3 linked regions of the Elephas maximus indicus genome follow. The protein of the gene in region 1 binds, or shares a complex with, the protein of each later gene. Links are inferred from orthologs where the notes say so. Each region holds a gene or a part of one and is shown on either strand. Other genes may lie near its edges. The genes, in order: F2, SERPIND1 and SERPINA5.

Evidence for each region.
Region 2: the proteins of F2 (region 1) and SERPIND1 are in contact, whole or in part, in a crystal structure (PDB 1JMO), measured with the Homo sapiens proteins. The link is inferred for Elephas maximus indicus from reciprocal best matches to the Homo sapiens genes F2 and SERPIND1. Residues at the interface, in NP_000497.1 of Homo sapiens: Lys384, Ser385, Pro386, Gln387, Leu389, Leu390, Cys391, His406, Cys407, Tyr410, Pro412, Trp413, Asp414, Lys415, Leu423, Arg425, Ser430, Thr432, Arg433, Tyr434, Lys440, Ile441, Ser442, Met443, Asn458, Leu459, Lys470, Trp511, Ala513, Asn514; in NP_000176.2 of Homo sapiens: Glu75, Asp76, Asp77, Asp78, Tyr79, Leu80, Leu82, Ile85, Phe86, Asp89, Asp91, Val305, Glu306, Met307, Thr308, His309, Gln327, Asp343, His361, Lys362, Arg388, Thr457, Val458, Gly459, Phe460, Met461, Pro462, Leu463, Ser464, Thr465.
Region 3: the proteins of F2 (region 1) and SERPINA5 are in contact, whole or in part, in a crystal structure (PDB 3B9F), measured with the Homo sapiens proteins. The link is inferred for Elephas maximus indicus from reciprocal best matches to the Homo sapiens genes F2 and SERPINA5. Residues at the interface, in NP_000497.1 of Homo sapiens: Arg383, Pro386, Glu388, Leu389, Leu390, Cys391, His406, Cys407, Tyr410, Pro412, Trp413, Asp414, Lys415, Trp455, Glu457, Asn458, Leu459, Asn506, Arg541, Ile542, Asp562, Ala563, Cys564, Glu565, Gly566, Asp567, Val588, Ser589, Trp590, Gly591; in NP_000615.3 of Homo sapiens: Gln241, Lys295, Lys296, Arg297, Thr368, Ile369, Phe370, Thr371, Phe372, Arg373, Ser374, Ala375, Arg376, Leu377, Asn378.

Annotation. Positions count from the first base shown.
Region 1 is NC_064825.1:102,166,434-102,170,253, reverse strand, and holds the start of F2 (prothrombin), read right to left. Parts: upstream 2,328-3,820; coding exon 2,249-2,327; intron 1,880-2,248; coding exon 1,716-1,879; intron 1,073-1,715; coding exon 1,048-1,072; intron 815-1,047; coding exon 764-814; intron 1-763. UniProt on the Homo sapiens protein: Thrombin, which cleaves bonds after Arg and Lys, converts fibrinogen to fibrin and activates factors V, VII, VIII, XIII, and, in complex with thrombomodulin, protein C. Functions in blood homeostasis, inflammation and wound healing.
Region 2 is NC_064840.1:21,269,218-21,272,817, forward strand, and holds the start of SERPIND1 (heparin cofactor 2), read left to right. Parts: upstream 1-811; 5' UTR 812-836; intron 837-3,600. UniProt on the Homo sapiens protein: Thrombin inhibitor activated by the glycosaminoglycans, heparin or dermatan sulfate. In the presence of the latter, HC-II becomes the predominant thrombin inhibitor in place of antithrombin III (AT-III).
Region 3 is NC_064828.1:108,117,214-108,121,033, reverse strand, and holds the start of SERPINA5 (plasma serine protease inhibitor), read right to left. Parts: upstream 2,262-3,820; 5' UTR 2,193-2,261; intron 1-2,192. UniProt on the Homo sapiens protein: Heparin-dependent serine protease inhibitor acting in body fluids and secretions. Inactivates serine proteases by binding irreversibly to their serine activation site. Involved in the regulation of intravascular and extravascular proteolytic activities.

The sequences.
Region 1 (3,820 bases):
TCATTCATTCATTTGTTCCTCCAACATTAAACATCTTATTGACTGCCAAACATGAAGCTGGGGGCTAGAGATGCAGAGACACAGGCTAGACCATAGGGACAGAAAGGCAATGTCATAATGGACCATATCTACCATGGCCTCCACCAGACTGAGTCCAGTACAACTAGATGGTGCCTGGCTACCACCACTGACTGCTCTGACAGGGATCATAATAGAGGGTCTGGGACAGAGCTGGAGAAAAATGTAGAACAAAATTCTAACACAAAAAGAAAGACCAGACTTGCTGGCCTGACAGCAACTGGAGAAACCCTGAGAGTATGGCCCCCAGACACCCTTTCGTCTCAGTAATGAGGTCACTCCCGAGGTTCACCCTTCAGCCAAAGATTGAACAGCCCCAGGGAAGAAAACATGACTAAAGGGGCACACCAACCCTGGGCAGGGACTGGAAGGCAGGAGAGAACAGGAAAGCTGGTAATAGGGAGCCCAGGGTTGAGAAGGGAGAGTGTTGACATGTCATGGGGTTGTTAACTAATGTCGTACAACAATGTGTGTACTGTTTGATGAGAAACTAGTGTTCTGTAAACCTTCATCTAAAGTTCAATTAAAAAAAAAAAAGAAAGGCAATGTCAATGTAAGAGGCTGCCCCTACTGGGCCACATCCCCTAACCCACCCCTACCCTCCTCCTCTTCCAGGTTCAGGCCCCTCTCTCCTGGGACTGCTTACCCCTCACATCCCACACCCCTGACGCTGTTGTTTCCTCACCTTCCAGACATTCCACGAGGTTTTCTCGAGGTGTCCTCACTGGCTCACAAGCTGCAAAAGACCCAGAAACACCTTTGGAAGCAGAGTAGGGACAGGATGGACTGGAATAAAGGGTGGGGGGGGGGTAATACTCAGAAGCAGAGAAATGAACAGATAGAAAGAAAGAAGGCTGAGTGAGTGTATGGATGGATGACTGGTGAACCAGATATTTCTGTGAGGTAGAACATTCCCTAGCTCGAGTCTCCAGGCCTCCCTTCCAGGAGCAGATCCTTCTCGATGCTCACCTGTGTACTTGACCCAGAATGCTTCCTGAAAAACAAGGACTGCAGTGAGACTGAGCCGAGAGCCTTTGATTTACTTATTTTTATTATAGTAAACTTCTGTCTTCTCCAATGACTTTCCCTTCCCTTAGCTCAGTCACACAGAGTCAGGCTCTGGGGAGATTGGTGACCAAAAGCCCAAGCCCATTAAAGAAAAGGGTATTTGAGGAGAGGGGAGTCCACTCTCTCCCACTCACCACAATTGAAAAGGGGTCCCCTGAGCTGGGGTAGGTGAGAGGAGAGAGGAGCATGGGTCCTTAGCTGCGGGCCCTGGCAGACACCCAAGGAAGGGAAAGGCTGCCAGAGTTCCAGGAACGCTGAGGCCTAAGCCCAGGGCTCCTGGCCTCATAGGATTCCCATAGCCCAAGGGTGGCACAGAAAGGCTGAAATTGAAGAGATCACATGGGTCAGGGCAAGGGACTGTAGAGATCCCAACATAGGCAGCTGTCTGGAGACCAAGGAGGCCTCTGCATGTCAGGCAGCCTCAACAGACCCTGGCACTTCAGCATAGCCAAGTACAGGGACCTCCAAAAATGGCTGAGGTTGATCACCTTGCCAGCCCAGTGGAATGGGGATCAGAGTTGAAGTTAACTTAGCAGTAGTTAATGAGTTCCGATGTTCTTGGTCCTCACCGTGTCACTGGGAGACTCCAGGGCCTCGAAAGCCTCCTCATAGCTGCACTGCTCCTCCACGCACTCTCGCTCCAGGTTACCTTTGCGCATCTCCTCCAGGAAGCCGCTGTTGGCACGGCGGACCCGCTGGAGCATCGACAGTGCTTGCTGAGGGGCCAGGAACACTGCGGTAGAAGGGTCGTGCGACAGCGGCCTCAGAGAGCCAGGCGGCCTTGGCCATGGTGGGGCCAGGAAGCAAGCCATGCTGGCATCCAGAAGGGGGTGGCTGGCATGCCGGCGGAAGCCAGAAAGCAGCCAAATGTAGCCCACCAGGTCCCCTATTTACATTGGCCACTTCCAGCGCACTCCCCATATTGCAGGAGAGAAGCAGCCAGCGTCCTCCAGCCCTGAGGACCTAGCTGCTTCCCTAAGCTGGATACCCTGGGCTGAGACCCTCCTGGGGGTCAGCCGTGTTCTCTGTCAGGCCAGTAGACCCCAACCACGGCCCATGGCCCAGTCTTCCAGCCTGTCCTAGCTTCCAAGCCGCCCCTTACCATGCTGGCTGTGCGCAAGGCTGAACAGGGCAGCTAGGGCCAGGCAGCCAGGCAGGCGCGGGCCTCGGACGTGCGCCATAGTGTGTCTGCTCTGGGACTCTGAAGGCTCATCCTGACCCCTCTGGGTTAATGTTGAACTAGCATGAAGAAATTGGCCGAGAAGGAGAGGTCATGGGTTCAGGGCCGTAGGGACAAGCAGATAGATAGTTCACCTGCCCACCCCCGCCATCTGGTGAAAACGTTCTCCTAGGACCAGAGATGGACAGTCTGAGAGGAAGCCACAAAGGAAAGGTCACTGTAACCACCAACCCCCACTCCTCCTCTCCCTGGGGCATGAGGTGAACTTGGGCCAAGATCTTCCTGAAGCTAATACATGGTAATGATTGCTTTAGTCTCTATATGCCTCAGTTTTCTCATCTGTAAAATGGGGATGGTAATAGAACTTGGTGTGAGGAGTAAAGGAGATTATAAATGTAAAGGTCCCTAGGTGGTGCAAATGGTTTGTGCTTGGCCACTAAACAAAAGATTGGGGGTTCGAATCCACCCATTGGCTCCCAGGAAGAAAGGTCTGGCTATCTACTTCTGAGAGATCATAGCCATGGAAAACCCTATGGGGCACAGCTCTACTCTGACACACGTGTGGTAGCCATGAGTCAGAATTGACTTGACAGCGACAGATTTGGTTTTTGTTAATAATTGGTAAATGTATGTCAATACATAAATAATTGGTAGATAAATGTATGTAAACTGACGGAGAGGTTTGTGGAATCACAATATGCAGATATAAGAAAATGGAGACAAGGGTGTGGCCACAATGTGGCCGGAGACAAGGGTGTGGCCACAATGTGGCCAGACACAAGCTGTCCACCTCTTTCTGGGATGTGCTGGGGGCAGGGACACCCAACAGGGGCCCCGGACTCTCAACCACTGATGGAAGGTTCCATTTCCCCTTTTTCCCATCTGGGGTGCTGTGGATGTGTGTTTGTATGTGGTGGTTACCTGGGAGGAGCAGGTCCAGGGCCTCTTGGGCCTTTGGTCTATTTTCTTTCATCTCCCAGGACCTGCTGCCTGCCCGGAACAGAAGCCAGCCCAAATCCCAGGGCCTCTGGGGTAGGGCCCCTCCCTCTCTCCCTGCCTGTCTTACCTGGTCCAAGCCTAGAGTGGCTGCAGGTCCTATACTGCCCCTGGGCCCAGCCCTGCTCCCTGTCCCTCCCCCATTTCCTGTGTGCAGTCTGCAAGATAAATATTAGTCCTGGGTCTAATTAGGACAGAAGGACAAAGAGCGAGAACAGAGGGAAGCACAGGGCCTTGCCTTGCCTATCCTTTGGGCCTGGCTGTTTGGGGTCTGGACTGCAGTCATGTTCACCTGGCAAGATCACGGGCAGGGGCCTGGTGCAGTGTTTGTAACAGAGAGGGTTGGCAGAGCCCTGCAGACCAGGCTCCCAGGAATCAGCTTAATTCCTGGGTGGCCAAAGTTCTTATATTTTGTGTGTGTGTGTGTATGTCTGTCTGTGTGTATATATATATATATATAGAGAGAGAGAGAGAGAGAGAGCCCTGGTGGCACAATGG
Region 2 (3,600 bases), on another chromosome or scaffold:
CTAAAAAATCAGCCACTGAAAACCCTACGGAGCACAGTTCTACTCCGACACACATGGGGTTGCCATGAGTCAGAGTGGACCTGACGTTAATTTTTTATATCATAGCCCCATGGATCCCTGTGAATGCCTAAATGGACTTGAGTTTGAAAACCACTGCTTCAGGTAACATCCCTCTCTCTCCAACAATGAACATGACAGTTTGGCTGCAAGCTCTCCTTGACTGGAGAAAGGTTCTATTCCATGGTTTCTTCGCGCTCTAAGCCACCAATCTCATACTTTCCCCTCCACTTTTGTCTGAGGTACATGATCACAGAAGGACGGGGACACCTGCCTCATTGCCGAAGCAGCCACGTCAACCCTGGAGACCTGGGCAAGGTCAGATGCTGTGATCAGATCTCCCTCTGGCCTCGTAAAAGGAAGAGAAATACTTGGAGGGCAGGTCTGTAGCCTCTACTTTCAGGGAAGCGTTCCAGCTCTCCCTGACTCAATCTCATCACCCAGAACTCTGAAGAGTGTCTTGGTGACTTCAGCAAGGGCTGCTCCTGCACCAAGGCTCTGTAAGCACGCAGACAATTCTGGTGTCACACGTTCAAAACAGCAGCTAAGTCACAACTTGAGCTAAATCACAAGCTGAGAAGTCACAAGTCACTTAGCAGTGATCAAAGACATAGTTGAGGGGGTTTGTGCTGACAAAGCTAGCTGAGTATTGTTTGACTTGGGACATATTTACTTTGGAAAACATGCAACAACAGCTTAGCACCAAAGTTCACATTGAAATTCCACTGCTGATCTTGGCTGTTTTCATCTCTGCAACTCCACGTCTCAGCAGCACAGAGGTAAGTCTGGTCTTTAACACTTCTGCTGATCATAAAATCTTATTTGTGATCTTTCAATATGAGCTTCATTTCTCCATCCGACTACAAATTTCAATGCTTTCTATACTATTTGAGAAATGCAAAGATTTTTTTTTAAAACCTGCTTATTATAAAATTCTGTCAGTTATGTTATCAGGACAATTGACAAAATTGGATCATGGACCATAGAATAGATGGAAGTATTACATATACGTTAAAATATTTTGAATTGGATGACTGTACTGTGGTTATGTATGAGAATAATCTTGTTCTCAGGCACTTTTCCCTAAGGTATTAGTATTAAGGATTAAAGGGCCAGGATATATGCAACCTACTTTCAAATGGTTTGGAAAAGAATAATATGTGTGTGCGTATATATATGTTTACACACACACACACACATACATATATGGAGAGAGAGAGAAAATGATAAAGCAAACACTTCAAATACAAAACCCTAGTGACTCTCTGGGTAAAGGGTATATAGAGGTTGTTCTCTATACCATTCTTGCAACTTTTCTGTAAACTGAAGTTATTTCAAGATAAAAAAGATTTTGTAAATCCAGGCAGTTATGTCTCTCCTACCACACCTGCTGTTTGGGCCTAGTCCCCCAGGAGGGACAAGGTGTCCCGGTGTCATGCTCTGACGAACCACTGAAAAGTCCTGCTCCACACAATTAACACAAGAAACCACCATGTGAAATTTCCATGAAAACAAACTTTTGAGCAATTTTCCTATTGCTCTCTTCAAAGACAGTAATCTGAATTTAAACACAAGCTAAACCTAGTGATAATTTTTAAATATCTTATATAATTTTTGTGGTACTAAGTAGCAAAACCAAGGAGCCTCAGTGGTACAGTGGTTAACTGCTCAGTTGCTAACCGAAAGGTTGGTAGTTTGAATAAGCAGCAAAACCAAGGAGCCTCAGTGGTACAGTGGTTAACTGCTCAGTTGCTAACCGAAAGGTTGGTAGTTTGAATCCACCAGCTGCTCTGTGGAAGAAAGATGTAGTAGTCTGCTTCTGTAAAGACTATAGCTTTGGAAACCCTATGGGGCAATTCTACTCAGTCCTATGGGGTCACTGTGAGTGGGAATCAACTCGATGGCTACAGGTTTTAAGTGGCAAAAAATCAAGGACCATAAAGGACCTAATTGTTATATATAGAAAATATCATAGTTTCTGCTTCCTCTCATGAAGGAATAATGAAAATTACTCTTGGCTTTTCAACATATAACATAGGTTCAGAGTATATGAAGCTTCCAAATATACTATCCGAATACCAAGATAAATACATGAATGCCTTTGCCCCGTCCTCCTAGTTGGTTCCAAATTTTTTTTCCTGAACTCTTATCTATTCGAGTTTATTTTTTTTAAACCTTATTTTATCTGAGAAGGATACTTTTAAGTGCCATCTATCAAGCAGATGTCCACCAAGTTGCTTTTCTAACTTTTTAAAATGTATTGCCATCAACACCCAGGCCCCATGCTATTTGGAAACTGGGCCTAATTCTACCTGACAGCCAAACACTGCAGAATTTATTCACAGGTGCAGACCACAAGGTACGACAGTGCTCACTACTGGGAGGCTGGGCGAAAAAAGACAGCAGACACTTTGAAAGTTAGAAACTCCGAGGCTTCCCCTCCTAAAAATGTGAAATTCAGAAACCTCTCAGTCATGACTGACACACACTTTGAGCTGATTGTTTTAGTAGTTCCGTAGGGGGAAGGCCCAAGGAGGGAGACTGGAGGCAGGGAAGCCGTCCAGGAAGTGACTCTCAGAACAGGTCTGTCTAAAGAGGGGCTGTCAATCATGTGCTCCTTGAGTAACGGAGTGCTCCATGCTCCCCTGTGAACAAGGCACACTAGACTCTGAGGAGCTGGCAGTCCAGCCAGCTTGGCTTGAACCTAGCCACTGCCACTTTTAGTGATGTAAGACTCAGTTTCCTGCTATGGGAAATGGCAAGGGCAACACTGAGAGAATTAGTTAAATCACAAAGCACAATAGGCATTGCTCTTATTAACATCTACAAATCTTACAGTATTTCAAGTGGGTATCCAGACAGTTGGGTGGTGCAACTTTGGTTAACGTGCTCGGCTGCTAACCAAAAGGTTGGAGGTTCGAGTCCACCTAGATGTGCTAGGAAGAAAATCAGCCTTTGAAAAACCTACGGAACACGGTTCTATTCAGACACACATAGGGTCACCGTAAGTCGGAGCTGACTCAACAACAACTGGTTTCCATGTAGTTAGCCCCGACTTCTGGACTAACAAGTTCAAATATTTGCTTAACGGAAGCCAGTAACTCTTATCTGGCCTACACTGGAGGCAGATATTCTGGCCCTCACATATCTACTGAGCAGGAAATGATCACTGAAGCACAACCAACTTAGCAGAACAAAAGGCTTCCTTCCAGGGTGAGCAGAAGTCATACTGGGATCATGAACTACCTGCCTGGGTCAGCATTATAAACACTAACTGTCAGCGTCCAGGCAAAACGTGGACACATCAAATTATACCTCATCTACCCGGGATGCCGGCACTGGGTTTTTTTTACCCGGAATGCAGTTAATAACCTGGACATAAGCAAAAGGAAAACTTATTTGGCAGCCAAAATTGATTTGACAAGCAAGTCAAATCCTTCCTGGCACAGGCAAGGGACTGACAGATAAATATAGGCTTGCCACAAGGTCCGTGTATTAATAACCAACTTTACTTAAATGAAGGTAATGACGCTTAGGCCTTTA
Region 3 (3,820 bases), on another chromosome or scaffold:
TCAGTCTGAAGCCAAGGGGCCTGAGGAAGAAGGAGCCGGGGACAGGGGAAGTGGGGGCTGGTGTGGGGAGTCAGTCCTCCTGCTGAGTCCACACAGCCACGCACCCCAAACCCGTTGGCTGATACTCCTAATGTTAGGCAACCAAACCCCAGACAGGCTGACTTAGGACTCTGTGGGAGGCATGCAGCTGAGGAGGGTCTGTTCCGTACCTGTCAAATCCAAACAGGGAGAGGCCAAATTGCACCTTTCCCTGGATTTCAAAGACGGGGGGGACAGAGCTTCACGGGAGAAGTGACCGTAGAAGCTTTCTTAACTTCCCCCTCTACCTCCTATCCATCTGCACGTCTTGTCGATTTCAATCTCCAAGATATGTTTTAAACCTACTGGGGGCACTCCATCTCAGTGAAAGCCCCTTCGTCCTTCGCCTGGACCCTGCAAAGCCTTCCTTCCTGCCCCCACAAACCAGCTTCCTCAGTCAGAAACCTTGTTGTCAGAGCACTCCCTTGGATCTTTGGGGGAAATCTGAGTTTGGTTTGTGTGCCAACCCAAAGGCCCTTCAGGGTCCCCTTTGCCCTGCTCTCTGGCCTCCCCCTGATGGATTCTCCCACTTTCACTTCCTCTAGGCCCACTTCTTCTCTCATTTCCCCAAACCCAATGCCCTCTCCAGCGCTCCGGGCCCTTCATGTCCTACTGTCTCCCCTGGAAACCTGCCCCCACCTCCCCCACCTTTCTCGTCAGAGCATCAGGCCTCAGCTTCAAGGCCCCTTCTTCGTGGTCCCTCTGGAAGCTGGGCCCAGGCCCCTTGGTTGTTTCTCTCAAGAGCCCCATCAATTGTTGTGCGCCATCAAGTCGATTCCGACTCATAGTGGTCCTGTAGGACAGAGTAGAACTGCCCCATAGGGTTTCCTAGGCTGTAATCTTTATGGAAGCAGATTGCCAGGTCTTTTCTCCTGTGGAGCTGCTGGGTGGGTTCAAAATCTTTCATTTAGCAGCTGAGCACTTAACTGTTGGGCCACCAGGGCTCCTTTCCCATCAATTATGCATGCGTCTGGGCTCAATTTCTTTTGTTCTGCTTCTCTCTCCACTAGAATAAGTGCTCACAGCAGGGAGCCCCCCATCTGCTCTGCCCCCAGTCACGGGGAGATGCTCCATGCACCTTTGTGGGATGAATGAGTGAAGGAATGAACCACCCCTGGCCCATCCTTTGTAATTCGGTGTCGGGCCGCAGGCTGGGTGCTGACTAGTGGACCTAGAGCCAGGCTGGGCATCCAGACCCTTGCTCACACCACCAGCCCCGGGGTTAACTTGACCTTGAGTTACTCCCTCCCCTAGCTCAGCCTGTTTCCTGACTCAGGGGAGCAGTTTCTCCTTTTATTGTTGCATTTCTTGCCAAAGGTCCCATCCGTTAAAAACTGAAAACTGCTGATTTCTGTCTACCTTGTGTTTATTTAACAAACTGCCAAATGGTGTCTGGAGTTGGCGGGCAGCTGCTGTGACCCTGAGGGGAGGCCTTATCTCAGGGAAGTGGATTGCATTTTAGAATGTTTCCTGATTTTATGGGTCAAGACCCTTGGCATAGAAAACAATGCAAGCCAAGGTTACTGAGCACCTCCTGCTAGCCCGGCATTTTGTCCCCTCCTCCTCGTCCTCATTTCAGGGTTTCTCAACCTCACACTGTCCACACCTGGGGCTGGATCCCTCTGTCATGGAGGAGGCTGCCATGTGCATTGTAGGATGTTAGCGACGTTCTTGGCCTCTGTCCACTGGATGCCAGTAGCCCCCCCTCCGCCCCCATCTAGTTATGACAACCAAAAATGTTGCAGACATTGTTAAATGTGCCTGGGGTGAGGGGGTGGGTAAAATCACTCCTAGCTGAGAACCACTGCCTTACTTAATCTTCATATCAGGCCAGGCGTATGCAGAGGGTTAACTATTTCCACCTTACTGATGAGGAAACTGAGGCTTGGCCACATTAGTGCCATGCCCAAGGTCACACAGCTAGGGGAGACTCTCCTCCCTGGCTCAGTTCACGTTGCCATGAGGGCCCTTCCCGCTCTCCCTCTATCTGTCAGGGATGCCTCTGCAGCTCTAGCACCCTCCAGGTCCCTTAATCAGAGCCCATTCCTTGTCTCTGCTCCCACGTCCTGGAAGCCCCAGGAGGCCCCTGTCTGCACTCCAGAGTCTGTACTTACTCTGTCCAGTGGCCGAGCGTGGAGACAGTGGAGGTGGCGTCCGTCGGGCTTAGCAAAGGGCAGAGAGCTGGCTGGACTGGAGCCAGAACTTGCCTACGACCTTAGCGGCCAGGACTCCACCCCTCCCGGGCCCCGCCCCAGGCGCCCTGCTCTGTCCTGCAAGGCTTCTAGCCAGCAGGCGGGCTGTGGACAAAGCTGCATGAGGGCCACCCACTCACTGTCCTTCAAGCCCCACACCGGCCTCAGTTTGCCTGTATATGCATGGGCACCCTGGAGAGACGAGGCAGAGTCAGGAAAGGCCACTGTCAGCACACCCCGCTTTTCATTAGACTCAACACGTTTGTTTCTGCAGCCCATCTGCTACAGATCCAAGAAAGGGGAGACTTGAGCCCCAGACTCCACAGGCCTTCTGTGCTGACTTGTCTCGTGGTCCTCAACAGCCAGATGCTGGTGGACCTTAAAGGGATTAGGAGAGCCTCAGGATGGTTGAGTTGAGGGGCCACTGTGTCTGGTCCCCACGTTGCACGAATCACTGAATTGTGGCTCAGAAAGGTGAAGGGACTTCCCAAAGCCGTACATCAATTTAGGGGCAGAGCGGGGCCTTAGTGCCCAGTTCTCTGACATCTATTGTTACCTGCCATCAAGTGGACTAAGAGTCATAGCTACCTTGTGAACAACGGAATGAAATGTTTCCCAGTCCTTCATCATTAGCACGATCACGGGCATGTTTTATTGTGGCACTGAGGCAATCCATCTCATCCAAGGTCGTCCTTGCCATTTCTGACTCCACTTCACCACACATGATGTCCTCCTCCAGTGAGGTGTCCAAAGCAAGTGAGTTGAACAATGTTCTGTAATGACCCATAGGGTTTTTATTGACTAATTATCAGAGCTAAATTGCCAGGCTTTTCTTCCTAGTCTGTCTCAGTCTGGAAGCTCCTCTGAAACCTGTCCACCACGGGTGACCCTGCTGGCATTTGAAATACTGGCGACATAGCTTCCAGCATCGCAGTAACACACAAGCCACCACAGTAGGATAAACTGCAGGCGGAAGGAGGATCACCAACCTAGAGATTCCTAAACTGTGCTCTATCGGATGGAAATCGGTGTTACACACCTATTATAGGCTACATGTTGTTGTTAGGTGCCAGAGAGTAGGTTCCGACTCAGAGTGACCCAATGTACAATGGGATGAAACACTTCCCGGTCCTGCACCATCCTCACAATCATCGCTATGTTTGAGCCCATTGATGCAGCCACTGTGTCAATCCATCTCGTTGAGGGTCTTCCTCTTTTTTGCTGACCCTCTACTTTACCTATATGATGTCCTTCTTCAGGGACTGGTCCCTCCTGATGGTGTGTCCAAAGGACATGAGACAAAGTCTCACCATCTTCGCTTCCAAAGAGTATTCTGGCTGTATTTCTTCCAAGACAGACTTGTTCGTCCTTCGGGCAGTTGATGGTGTATTCAGTATTCTTCACCCTAAAGTTATCCAGATATCTATTATCTAGAACCTTTTTTTTACTGGTTTATGAATGTCTCCTTACATGGCAAAGGGACATTGCAGTTGTGCTTAATTAAGTTAAGGCTCTTGAGATGGGAAGATTGTCCTGAATTATCCAAGTGG